3 linked regions of the Drosophila melanogaster genome follow. The protein of the gene in region 2 interacts with the protein of the main gene of each other region in a pairwise test. Each region holds a gene or a part of one and is shown on either strand. Other genes may lie near its edges.

What was found.
Region 1: the proteins of CG3225 (region 2) and CG10927 interact in a two-hybrid assay, tested with the Drosophila melanogaster proteins (one large-scale study listed by BioGRID).
Region 3: the proteins of CG3225 (region 2) and Rip11 interact in a two-hybrid assay, tested with the Drosophila melanogaster proteins (one large-scale study listed by BioGRID).

Annotation. Positions count from the first base shown.
Region 1 is NT_033778.4:18,611,343-18,614,817, forward strand, and holds CG10927 (uncharacterized protein), read left to right. Parts: upstream 1-1,747; 5' UTR 1,748-1,784; coding exon 1,785-2,867; 3' UTR 2,868-2,898; downstream 2,899-3,475. Other genes in the region: CG42697 (uncharacterized protein), read right to left, coding at 666-736, 949-1,084, 1,141-1,353; mRpS28 (mitochondrial ribosomal protein S28), read right to left, coding at 2,899-3,082, 3,140-3,261, 3,323-3,475.
Region 2 is NT_033779.5:4,815,104-4,820,141, forward strand, and holds CG3225 (uncharacterized protein), read right to left. Parts: upstream 3,143-5,038; 5' UTR 3,064-3,142; coding exon 2,935-3,063; intron 2,871-2,934; coding exon 2,779-2,870; exon of another isoform or gene 2,713-2,778; coding exon 2,619-2,712; intron 2,561-2,618; coding exon 839-2,560; 3' UTR 813-838; intron 789-812; exon of another isoform or gene 755-788; 3' UTR 680-754; coding exon of another isoform or gene 577-679; 3' UTR 521-576; downstream 1-520. Other genes in the region: CG15629 (uncharacterized protein), read left to right, coding at 1-520, 577-679.
Region 3 is NC_004354.4:18,644,506-18,649,515, forward strand, and holds the start of Rip11 (Rab11 interacting protein), read right to left. Parts: upstream 3,063-5,010; 5' UTR 2,716-3,062; coding exon 2,685-2,715; intron 1-2,684. Other genes in the region: Nup35 (nucleoporin 35kDa), read left to right, coding at 3,801-3,951, 4,011-4,855.

The DNA of each region.
Region 1 (3,475 bases), on a different chromosome or scaffold from region 2:
TTTGGGCTTAGAACAAATTGTGGGGATTCTCCAAAAGCGGGCCACACAACAACCGATCGTTGATTGAATTAAAGTAATGGGCTCTTCACTTGCTATTTGCGAAACCGAAAACAAAACGAAAACACACAAATTGCAGATACAAGTATCTCGCGCTTCGCTGATTTTCCAGTTTCTCCCGTGCAAATCACCTTCGCACCGTTACTTCTAATTGCGGCAAATGGAAAACACTCTCGTCTCACATATACGACTGCACTTGCAGATACACTTGTGTATTTTCAGATATAATTTTTGATATTTTTCCTGCCGATATTTTTATTTCCTTTTTTTTTTCTTGACGGGTAGGGGGCGGTACACTGGCACACACACGCTCATTCGCAGGAACAGCTCGAGCGCTCCAGGAACGACATATCCAGCGCGCGTCTCAGAGTGAACTGACTTACTTGAAAGACACTCAAGTCGGAAGACCCGAGCACGAAGTCACCTCATACACAAATAATGGGGGGATTCGAATACAAGTTCTCTCTCTCTCTCTCGGTGCTCACAGTATTACATCCGATGCGAAGATCGCTGAGAGTTGCATAGTATGCTCATTCCAAGGCGTTCGATCTCCAACATGGTATGTTTGTATCTTCTATGCATGCAACAAGTGGAACCAACTGCAACTCCTAGCAGTCGTGGGTGCATGATCGACAGCACCACCAGGTTGAAATGATGACCCATTCGTAGTACATCTCGACTGGATAAGAGAAAAATATTATTTTAATTAAAAATCGAACGTGAATAGAATTTATGTACTTTTTAAGTCCACTACGTTTTGTTGCTTGTTTGTGTTATATGTTGTGTGTGTGTTATAGAAAGAAGTTCTCGATAGTTAATGTATTAATCTACTTCTCTATCTTCTTTTGTTTTCAGATCCAAAAGAAATTCAAAATTTTTTCACCAACTTACGTATGCTAAGAAAACCGCCCAGAAGGAGGTGCAGAGGGTCCCACAAGAGGATGTAGAAGAGCACCACAAGTGCGATGAGGAGCCCCAGGGCCGCAATACCTATAAAAAAGGACAAGAGCATGGCCCAGCACATGTCCTGTAGAACAGCGATTGGATATCTTTACAAATTTAAGGATAAAAGTATTCACTTACCCACATCGTTCCGAGGAGAAGAAGAATTTTAGCTAGGGCTTGGACAATGCCAAAGACCATTGCCATGACCACAAGCACTGTTTCCGGATTGCCCTTGATCATCTCGAATAGACCCACAGAAAAGACCATTAAAGCTAGAAGCATCCCCGTGAAGCCGATGAAGATGCAGCCAATGTAAAGCGACAAATAGCCGCAAAACAAGCGCAGACACATTTCGATGTTTCCTCTAAGTTTTGACTAGAAATCACAAGCACATATTTCACTGGAATTTTGAATTTAAACTTTGGGTATCAGACTGGGCACTGCTTACATGTAGACATCAAAAAAGATATTGGTTGTAAGGAATTATAATGCAAATTAGACAATTGATCAGATTATTGAGCTGATTAGATTAAGTATTAGGGAATGTATATCAAAAGTAGGAAATATTTGAAACAGCTCCCAAGCTAAATAGCTTTAAAGACTTTTAAACGTATAATCTTTCACTAAATTATTTTTAAATGCATATTTTAAATAGAAGACATTTTTCAAAGTTGGCGCTTAATATCCAAACAGCTGTTTCAACGCCAGCGCTTGGCACTTATCGATAACCTATTTCAATCGATTCCAATTGGCATTCTTCTAATTGAAGAATTAAGTAAATAATGGATATATCCGCGCCACCAAACAAACGTGCTCGAAAATCACCCAATCTGGATGAAGACATAACTGGGATCCGGGCCATCCTCTCCGATGAGTTCGACGAGGATATTGCGCTCATCAAGGCGCACAGTTGCGAGTTGGAGACGAAACAGCAGCTCCAGGCGGTCATCCAGGAGCTCTCACAGAAATTGCCCCACTTTCAACACCTAAAGCGCGTCCAGGATCGCAGCGTGCTCATATGTCCCAGCTCAGAGATCGGAGTGTCTCAAAGCCTGGAACAACACCTTGAACAGTTTGCCTTTTCGGAGCACGTGCTCCGTGCTTTGTGCCAGGGAGTCCGGGTGGTGGAGGTGCCGGAACGGATGCCCCGACTGCGGGTGCAGTACGAGAAGACCCTTAAGCACTGGCCCTGCAAGTTTCACCCTAATCACTACTCGGAGTCACTGAGGAATGGCAGCAACTTTAGCTCCGCACAACGCACATTTCACAAAAGGATCGGGCAATTGCTTGTGAGGCTCTCGCGGGATGTCAATGCCAATCGTCCGGTGGGCATCTGCGTGGATCCGCGACAACCCAGCATTGTGTCCATTGCTGGAACTGGTGAAGTTTGTAGGCCGCACGAGCACTGCTGCATGATGCTCGTCGATTTTGTGGCTCGCAGTCAAGAAGGAGGCGCCACAAAAACGGAGGTTACATTCACCGAAGATTTCAAGAAGGATACCACTCTGCGGGGTATTCCTAAAGCCTACTACGATTACCTGATGAACAATGAAGACTACAAAGACCTGACATTCGGAGCGGAAAAGTCGAGAGAATGCAAAGAAGTGGACGCAGTTCAAGGAGCAGATAACCTGGCCAAATTCGGACCCTATCTGTGCACCGGCTACGATATCTATCTGCTGCAGGAACCCTGCCTTATGTGCTCCATGGCCCTGGTACATAGCAGGGCGAAAAGAGTATTTTTCGTTAAGAACTCTGAAAACGGAGCTCTAGCCACGAGATTCCAACTGCATTCGGTGCGGGAACTCAACCATCACTACGAAGTGTTCCAGTTCACAACCAAGGAGGATGAAGACTTGACGTAACGTTTAACAAACCTTGGTTTTAATAAAGGATTTATAGGATATCTTCGATTTTCGGCGTTGTTTTGGCCGTCGACTGGCGGGTGGGCGTGGACAGGAGACCCAGCAAATGGCAATCTGCCTCTAGAATGGTAATATCCTTGGACGAACCCAGAAACTTGGTGGACAACTCCAAGTCCTTGATGCGCAGTCGAACACGGGCTCCTCGCACATAGTCGCTGAAGTAGGAAAGGCGGTTTATTGGATAAAGAGACAGGAAATTATATTGAACTCACCTGGCATTGCGTGTTGGACGACTGCAGACGCAGTGAAACTTCCAACCAAAGTCTATGTAGAGATCATCGCCCACCACATGAAAGATCTTGCCACTGACCACCTTGCCCTCGGCGTTGTCCAGCTGCTCCAGAAATCAACAAGTTATTACATAAACAATGGGATTACTTAAATAATGTACCCACATCAATTAATTTGGAGTTGCGCAGCAGGGAGGCGAAGGTCTGGTTGTCTTCCGGCAGCTGTGGAGGCGTGGCTGGTGCCGTGTACTTGTCGAAGGCACGGGCGAATCCTCCCTTGCTGCTGCCAATCTCCGCCGTTTCCGTATTCACTGCGGG
Region 2 (5,038 bases):
AGCAGATCTACCAGCGTGCCAGCCAGGTGACCGAGGAGGTTGGTCCCGTCGACATATTGATTAACAATGCCGGTATCGTGTGCTGCAAACCCTTCTGGGAGCTGCACGATCGGGTCATCCAGAACACGTACAACATTAACATCATATCGCACTACTGGACCGTGAAAGCGTTTCTGCCTCACATGATGCGCAATAATCGTGGTCATATCGTTACTGTGGGCTCGGTAACTGGAATGCTGGGCACCTACGGATGCAGTGACTACGCGGCCACCAAATACGCCTGCATCGGTTTCCACGAGAGTTTGCTCACCGATCTGAAGGCCCATGGCTATGATCAAATCCAAATGAGTTTGATCTGCCCGTACTACATCAACACGGGCATGTTTTCGGGTGTTCGGCCGCGGATGATGCCCATGCTGGAGCCGCAGTATGTGGCGGATCGCATCGAGAACGCCGTGCGCTGCAACGAGGTGTGGTGCGTGCTGCCCAACTCTATTCGCCTGCTCACTCCTCTCAAATGGTAAGTAGTCTATTTAACATAGTTATATACAATGTAATTAATGCTGGTTTTCTCAGTCTTTTGCCCGCCAAAATGTGCTGGGAGCTGATGTCGCGTGTCATCCGTGGACCCGAGTCTATGATGATGTTTCAGGGACGAGGGCGCGTCGCCGCTGGTTAAACACACAATAGGAATCATCATATGGAATCCATTACCTAAGCTTAAGTTCTTTTTCAAGAGGCGGCATCGTTTCACCTATAATTTTACAATAAACTTAGTTATTTGATTTAATGAACTATTTTAATAGACTTACACCTATCATTAAGGCTTTAGTTCCTGCTAATCCCGCACTGTGGTCTGTTGGTAATAATGCGGCGCCAGCTCCGTCAGCCACTCTCTCTTGATTACGGTCACGTAGTTCATGAACAATTTCGTCGTTTGGAGCAGTTCCCCATAGACCACGTACTGAGCTTGAGGAAGTGTGTAGAGAGTGGAGTTCGGATGAATGGCCAGTTCAGTGCCGCTGCTGATTTGTCTATAAACTCCAGAGTGATGCAGATAGGCCACCTGTGTGAAGAAGCCGGCGGTGATGCACTTGCACAACTTTTCCACATCGCCCTTGCACGAGAAGATTGGAATGCCGTACTTCTTTCTGGCCACTGTGATGAGTTGCTCCCTCAGCGAGTGGGCCCTCTTAAGATTCCTGTAGATGAGGAAGTATTGGCCACAGAACTCCTTGGTCATGCCCTCCTCCACGAAGCCAGTGTAAGCGTTCAACATCGTAATAAAGTCCCCTTCCGCAACTTCGAATTTTCGATGTGCAATGCGTCCACTTTGTTGGGCAACCGCTGAAGCTGGGCGCGAAAATATAGACTGCACCTGCAGCAACGCAATGATGGTTATGATCTCCTCGGAGCAGCCCATCTGACCGGAAACATAGAGCATTTTGGAGAGCATAGCGCTGAAGGGGAGTTCGGCCAACAGGTAACCCACGGGCTTCGTCAGATTGCCCTGCTCATCGATGGCGTCCAAGGCAAATAGACTCTCCAGTGCGGAAAGTAGATTCTGTGCCGGTGGTGGCGATGGGAAATCAAAGCGCAATATGTTCCCGATGCCCAGCGCCTTTAACTGCAAGATAGCGCCGCTCAATTCGCTGCGTCGCATTTCGGGTGGCTGCCGAGGAGCTAGTGCTTCATAGTCTGATTTAGTGTACAAACGATAGACCTTGCCGGGACGCATACGACCCGCTCGTCCTGCTCTCTGGATGGCCGACGCCTTGCTGACGGGCACTATAACCAAACTGTCACTGCAGGTTTTGGGATTGTACCATTTTACCTTGACGTAGCCGCAGTCTATCACATAAACAATGCCCGGAATGGTGATGGAGGTCTCTGCTATATTCGTGGCCAGCACCACTTTGCGGGTTCCTTTGGGCGGGGTAAAGAATACCGACAACTGATCAGTGCTCGACATACTACCATACATGGGCAGCACCTTGAGATTCTCCTGTTCCGAACTGGCGATGTATTCGCGCAGAAGATCCAGCGCCTCCAGGACTTCCTCCTGGCCAGTTAGGAAGGCCAAAATGTCGCCAGGCGGCTCCTTTTGATGCAGTTTCCAGACGGTCTCCACAGTTTCCTTCACATAATCGGCGCAGGGTTCGTTCAGATAGAAATTACTCACAGGATGCATGCGACCTTCAATGCTTAGCTTAACGCTCACTTCGCCCGATCCTGGCCAGCTGAAGAACTCGCTGAAGAAGCTTGCATCTATGGTGGCCGATGAAATGATGAGCTTGAGCGAGCTGCGTTTGCGAAGGATCTTCTTGAGCAGTCCCAAAATCATGTCGGTGAGCATATTCCGCTCGTGCGCCTCGTCCACGATGATAACACCATATTGGGTGAGCAGCGGATCGGCTAGGACTTCCCTCAGCAAGATGCCCTCGGTCATGAACTTGATTTTGGTACAGGAGCTCATGCTTTCCAGGAAGCGAACTACATAGCCCACCGTGTCACCTACCAGTTCGCCGCGTTCCTGTGCCACGCGATTAGCCAGCGTAACCTGGAAATGAAGTCTTTAGTTTTAGATTTTATAGTTGCTTTGCTTTAGGATTACTTACGGTGGAAACGCGTCGTGGTTCGGTGATGCCAATGAGTCCCTTGGTGTGCCAGCCCCATTCATACAAATACTGTGGCACCTGGGTGCTCTTGCCACTGGGAAATATGAAAAACCACAGAGTTAGAAGCATTACTTTGAAGCTCATGGAATTCCATACAAACCTGCCTGTTTCACCCACTAGTATGACCACTTGATGCTTTTCCAAGCAGTAAAGTATTTGATCCCGGTACTGACGAATGGGCAAACGTTCCCTCTGTAATAATTTAAGTTTAATTTGTTATTCTAGCAAATGTTTACGAAATATTTTGTAAGCCCACCTGCTCCATGAGTCCCATATTGTGATTGACATTGAATACAAAGGCGGAGGACTGCTGTTCACCACCGGCACTATCTGTGATTGCATCGTCCGTCTCGGGTTTTAGGAACTTTGGCTTAAAAGTGCTCATTTTCAATTATTTACTTCGTTATAGATTCAGTTTTGAAATTAAATAAACAGCTGATGGACTCAATGCATTGGTGCAAAATACCAAAGCGCGCAAAAGAATGTTAGGAATTTCGTTTAATATAAACTAATGGTCACACTTTTATTTGGCGGGAAATTGCATTGTATTGAAATTTCGATTAACGATAACCATCAACTATATAATAAGTTGAATTGCCCAAAAACCTAAGTATTTACTTAATCACTAAGTATACAGTCGCCTAGTTGAGGTCTATAAGAAAAGAGGATAATCAAATTTCACTATATTTTAGTTAAGATTTAAAAATGCAAAATATTAGTTTTTAGAAATTGTTTGGCTAGTACCTCAAGCTTATACCTTTGGTACCCACAAATTATAATATATTTGATTTAGTCGACCATTTCACGAGCCCCAATGGTGGCAAATGTCCATAACATTCACCTGTATTATTCATGCACATGTTTTTGTCCATTTTGCGGGCACGTTGCAGCACCGACATGTCCCCTATTGCTAGTGAAAATAACTCTAATTGCCAGTGGCAAGGCCACTTTGCTCCTCTGCATACCCAGCAAACTCATTATGTACTATAAGGTCGCCCTGGCCACGTGTGTGTGTCAAAAGTGTCCCCCGAGTTTTGTGCAGCTGTCGGCGACAGAAGCGCCCGGCCAATTGCTTTTGAATAAATATTGTATTGTATCTCTCGAGCAACAAAACACACACATTGTTTTGCCCGCTTGTATTTTTTTTTTTGTATATATTTTGATTTATGCACCGTCAGTGGGTATTATATGCATGCCGCCAATATTGGGACGAGTAAGATGGCCGTCGATTCCACACATGCAGGACCCCCGTATTCTGCATTGACCCTGACATTAAGAACGCTCGCTTTAACTTTAACCCCATCCGATGCGATCCGAACCCAACCACCAATTTCAAGCCAAAGCAAAACACGTGCCCGACATGCACGTTTGACCAACCACATCCGCATGCCAGTGCTGAAACAATGGAGCCCAGCTCCACTCCACTCCACTCGACCCGAGCCCAGCCCCCATGGCGTATGAGTAATCCGAGAAAAGCTAATTAAAGGCCAGCGGCGAACTTCATGCCAAGGACGAGGCGCCAAGTCGCCAAAGCCAAGCGAAAGCCAAAAACTCTGCGAGCAGTTTGTCAACACCGCCGTCCGCGGAAAGTGCTTCAACTAAAAGGCACTGAGAAAAAATGTTTTCACTTTCCACTCAAGCTGATATCAGCATCACAGGTAAAGAGGTATCTTCGCTACATGAGAAAGATTATAGTTTCGAAAAGTGTTAAGAACGATGCTTCAGTATTTAGTACTACATCTTAAATTGCAAATACTAAAATATAATAATTTCCGCTGTGCATATGGATTAGTCATTTCATTTGCCTTCTATCCCACTTAATAGTAGTTAAGTGAATATTTAGTTACATTGCGGGTTATGGGAGGCTGTCACATTTTCGCACAGTGTGTATCTTGTCCGTTTGGCGTCCAGTTCCAGTTTCGGTTGCATATAAATTTTAATAGATGCGCCCAAGGCCAGAGTTTTACTGTCAAACGGCTGTCGGCACTCCACTGCCGGTATCCAAATTCCGATTCCCCCGTCTTTGGGCACCTGACTAAATGCCACAAAACTTAAAGGGCGGCATGAATGCTAACTGTTATTCCGGCTTTTACGAGCAAAGTTTCCTTGGAAATGCCAGTGGAGGGTACGTTCCTTTTGTTCTATCTACGTATTATAACTATAGTTTCGCGTTGACGACCCTGATTACAAACGCCGGAGTTGTGCGTCCTCGACACCCAGCGAGTGGTGCGAAAAGGGGCTGGCGTCATTGTCTTTGCGTGCCGCGAATTTGCGTGATTCATGATGCATGTGGCAGGGCGGCAAAGTCGCAACTCAAATGCAGCACACACAAAGTGCACACGAAAAAAAATGGTGACGCT
Region 3 (5,010 bases), on a different chromosome or scaffold from region 2:
TGGGGACTGGGGTTCGGCAAGCGCCGGAGGAATGTGGCCACTGGCCAAGAACTGGAACTGGAAAATAATCAATTGCAGACCCGCGATGCGAAGAGACTTTCGGCCAGCGATCCCATCCAATGCCAGACCTGTTTTTCTTCACTATCCCCTCCCCTCCCCTCCCCCTTCCATCATGATCATAAGACCAAACCCCGGACCCATCCCGATCCCATCCGATCCGCTTCGGTTTGTTTGGTTCTATTCTGGCTAAATGGGTCGAGCAATGGAACGTAACTGTTTCGCATAAGTGCATCGATGGAGCCGCATTAAAACGGTCTCACATGGACGATGGCATCGCCGGGCAGGGTGCGGAAGAAGTGGACACAATCTCAAGACGCCATCTGCCCGCTGACGTGACCAGAGGTGATCCAGCTCCAGCTACAGTTCTAGCAACAGCTCCAGCTCTTATCGCACTGATTTCCTTATCGATTCGGTGATAGTAGGGGAAATACAGTAGAAGCTGCCATAAAGATCATTTTTCAATTTAATTAGAATATCTATCTTTTAGTCGAACGACACAATATCTTGCTTAAAAGGTTCAGAAGTGTAACAGATTACTACGTATGTATCACACGGTTCCATTGTATTTTTAGCAGTATAAATACAAGAAATATAGGTTTGTTATATAGTACCTGGTACCTGGCTTCCGCGTTAGCAGGTATTCACTGTGCCGCCACCATTCATTATCGATAAAAAAAAGGGCGGTCTGGTCCGCTCTGATTTTCACTGCAACCGCATAAAATGCGTTGCAAAAGCAAGCCAAACATAAACCAAAAACCAAAATGGAAATGAAAAGGAAAATTAGGCGTTTGTTTTGTTTGGGTCTGCTTGGCTGCCCGCCGCTCATTGCACAATTTCCCGCTGAGGAATTTTCATTTTCAGGTATTTTAGGCATTTATTCAGTAGGTGTGTCCGTAGATGTGCGAGTTGGAGTAAGTAGCCGAGTAAGTGAGTGGAGTGAGTGAGTGAGTAAGTGGCGGCCAAGAATTTACGGCTAAAAATAAGGCACGCAATGGGCCAATTGGGTGGAGTTCGCAGTCGATAAGGAACTCTCCCAGACTAAATGGTCCCCAAACAACAAGCCATTAATAAGAGGGCGGGACGCCAGGTGTTTGCTGGATGATCTAACAGGGGAAACGAAAAAAGCACAGTGAAAGAAATTCTCTGGCATGCAAACATGCATGTAAACATGGTAAACTCAGATGAATTCTTAATTTAACTAGCAAATCTGGTAAGTAGAATTCAAAGCCTGCAGCTGTGCAATAATTAAAAAAAAAAAAAAACATGGCCTTTAATTTAAATATTTCAGTCCAGAATTGCCTATTCTATATATAAGTTAATAGTTTTGTATTTCGTTTTGAAAAGAGACAACAAAAAAAAAAACGAATCCTTTTGAGTCGCAATTTCTCTCTGTGTGGGAACACTATGGCATTTCAAAGGATAGGGAACAGAGTGCTCCTGAGAACAGCAGCGAAAACAGCTGTTTCCAAAGCGTGCGCGCTCATCTCATTCTCATCGCAAAGAAATTGGCAAATATTGACAGGTGTATTTATGTGCGTGTACATTTGTATATATGTACATATGAACTTAACAAACAAGGCGAAACTCGGCGAATTTGGGAGAGCCACACGGCGATGATTTGTTTGCTCATTCGCCGTGACGTCAACGGCTCTGGGTTTTAATCGCAAATTGCTGGAATAAAACACTGTGCGCTGTGCAAATATGCAAAATAAATGAAACGAGCGAATTGAGGCAAAGAACGTACTAACTGATAGCGGGGCAAGTTCAAGATCACAACAAGCTGGATCCGTTCATGTCAATGGAGCCCAGTGTATTTATCATCTTGATTTGTGTAAATTCCACGCAGCTCTAGATTGAACCACAATTCGTGACTCATTTACTCATTTGGCCGCCCAGTGGCCACTATTGCAACCAATAACTAACATTGCGGAAAACATTTCTTAAAGGGTCTTATTGGCCATGTTGGAGATATGAAAATATCTATGCTTTGGCTTTCAGTTATTATTTGTTTCCATAATCACTGGACTGGGAACAGCAGAATGAGCGCGCTTTGTGTTTTGTCACGAATTTGGAATCGGAATTCGCGATTTCTCATTGACACTTAGCCCTGAAGAAAACGCAAAACGAAAACAATGGCAAAGGTAAACAAGAGGCACCAAAAAAGCGCCACCATGGGCGTATGCTAAGGAATGCCAAGGGGCGGAAGGCGATGCAAATACATAAGGGGAGCGCTTAGCATGAGCAATTTTCTAGCAATGCGATGAGTAAGTGCGCATTCGAGCAAGGGAATTATCTTATCAGCCAGAAAAGCCTGATAAAAAGGCAATTGCTGGAGTCAGGAAAACACAAGAGGAAGAGCAAGAGGCAATGGCAAAAGGAGGAAGCGCGCGGTGGGGAAAAAGTGAAATTTCGAATTGGTACGTCTGCAGCAAAAGCAATAGGAACAACACGACCGTCATGACAATATTTTAAGCACACACCAACACAACGGCGCAGGCCACACACCCATACACACGCGGCACAAACGAGTTTAAGTTTTAATGCGATTTATTCGCCGTAAAAAAAAAATAAAAAAAAAACACAAATACTAAAACGGGTGTCCCCCGCTTTTCGCCCCCACTTACCCGTTACACTACAGTGCGTCGGACTCCACATGTCACCCTGTATCCCGTTGATCAAGTCGCACTCTCACGCTCTCTCCCGATCCCGATCCTTTGCTGTCTCGCTCTTGCTGCGAAGGTCCTGCCTTTCGTTTCTTCTTCTTTGCCTATATTGTAATTTGGATTGTTGTTGTCGATGTGTTTTGTTTACACTAATCGTTGTGTTTGTTGCTGCTCGCACACTGTGATTTCTTCTTATTGTTCTCAGTTGCCAATTTAATCACGCGCGACACGAACGAAACGCCAGGAGAACGTAGTGTAGTCTAATGTAAAAAAAAAAAGGAAAAAGACGGAGACGCGACGCGTGATGTTGTTGTTTGAAAGGTGGCCGCTAGAGTGACCGTTTGGGGGAAACGAAATGTGCCCACTGCCAGTCGGGGAGCTGCAAAAGTGCAAGTTGCGCGGCGCGACTGCGAAGAACGGCGTATTTAGTAGAGGTGGAGAAATCGATGTTGGCGGACATCGATGTTTTCAATAAAAACAAAAAAATTAACTGCTTAACTTAAAGATTATTATTTTTTTATAATTGCTTAAATAAAAAGGCAGTACTATAACTAAACATGACAAGCTTATTGCCGTCTACGTTTTTATCCGCCCCTGGTCCAATAATTGCTCCTATAAATCAAATATACTAATTAATGCAATTCAATAGAAAAGTAATTCAATAGAAAAGTAAGCCAGTATGCATACGAGCAGGTGCACGCATGCATACATGCATAAATATACGTGTCGTCTTCCACGACGCCAGCCAAGACCACCAGCAAGTCACTGAAAATTTGCAATATGCTATTAATAAATGGAAATTGGAAAATTTGGAAATTTAATTTATACTCACAATTTAAACACTTTTAACCTACGATGCGCAGTAAAGATGGAAAAACATCGATGATTCTTTGAAAAACATCGATGTTTGTGATTTTTCGAAAACATCGATGACATCGATGTTGGCATCCACCTCTAGCATTTCGACCCCAGCCCAGCCTGGTCGCACTAACCGATTACAGCTGTGGCGTCCTTGTTAATGCAACGCTTTTTCGTTTTTCGCCGTTATAATTATTATAATTAATATTCGCATTCGATATGGAGCCAATGAATCTGGGCAGCCCGGTCAACAGTCCTGGCTCCAACCAGACCCAGTATCTGCCACCTTTTCTGCTCGGCGATCCGCAAGGTATAACGCCGCACAAGAACACGCTGTCCCCGAAAACCGGGCGCTCTAATATAAGTTTCGGTAAGTAGCCGGCATCAAGCAGCTCGTACGCATTGGCTATATGAACACATGCCCCGCAGCCACCTCGCCCGGCGGCAGCAGTCCGCACGAGCTCAACCGCTCCGCTCTGAGCACACGCACTCTGTTCGCCGCCCAAGGAGGCGCCCACACGGCTGTGGGCGCCAACAGCTCAACGACCGCGCACGGCCAGACGCACAGCCACCACCAGACGGGACCGCCCACCCAGGGACTCTTCGACTCGCTGCGCGAACAGTCCGTCACCCCGAAGAAGAAGAACCATCTTGGCATGCTGCAGTTGCAGTCACCGAACCAGAGCTACCAGAGCAGCTATCACACGAATGACTCGTTCGCACCCGGGGCGCCCAATGCCATCAATGCCTCGATGCGAGCACTGTGCTCGCCACTTGGAGCCACTGCCTCGCCAGCTGGAGGCCTGGGCACATCCGTGACGACGGGCGGCAACTCGCGCCTATCCGACTTTTGGGTTACCATCTTCGGGTTCCCGCCGGGGGCCGGCTCCATGGTGCTGCAGCACTTCACCGTCTGCGGCACCATTGTGGACGTGGTGCATGCCCCGCAGAACGGCAACTGGATGTATGTGCGCTACTCCTCGCGCATCGAGAGCGACAAGGCGCTGAACTACAACGAAAAAATCATCGCCGGCAATGTGATGGTGGGCGTGTCGCGCTGCACGGATAGGTCGGTGATCGATAAGGAGAACATCGGCTCTGTGCCCAATGCAGAGATAGGAGATCCCCCCACCAGCCCCAGTGCGATTCGACCGTTTTCCCAGCAGTCGTACAAGCTGGCCCGCAAAGATAACATCATATCGCCGCAGAAGGATGTGCCGCAAAAGAGCTCCGGTCTGATGGACAAGGCCATGGACCTGATATTCGGCTGGTAAGAAGGGCTGATGGCAAGTCGGATGGATGGATAGATGGAGTGATGGAGTTTCCGGCTACTTATTTAATAATTCACTGCCTACATCCAGCATACATACATATACATACTTATTAAATGGAGATATATTAGCAATAGCATTAGCAAAAGAAGTCGAAG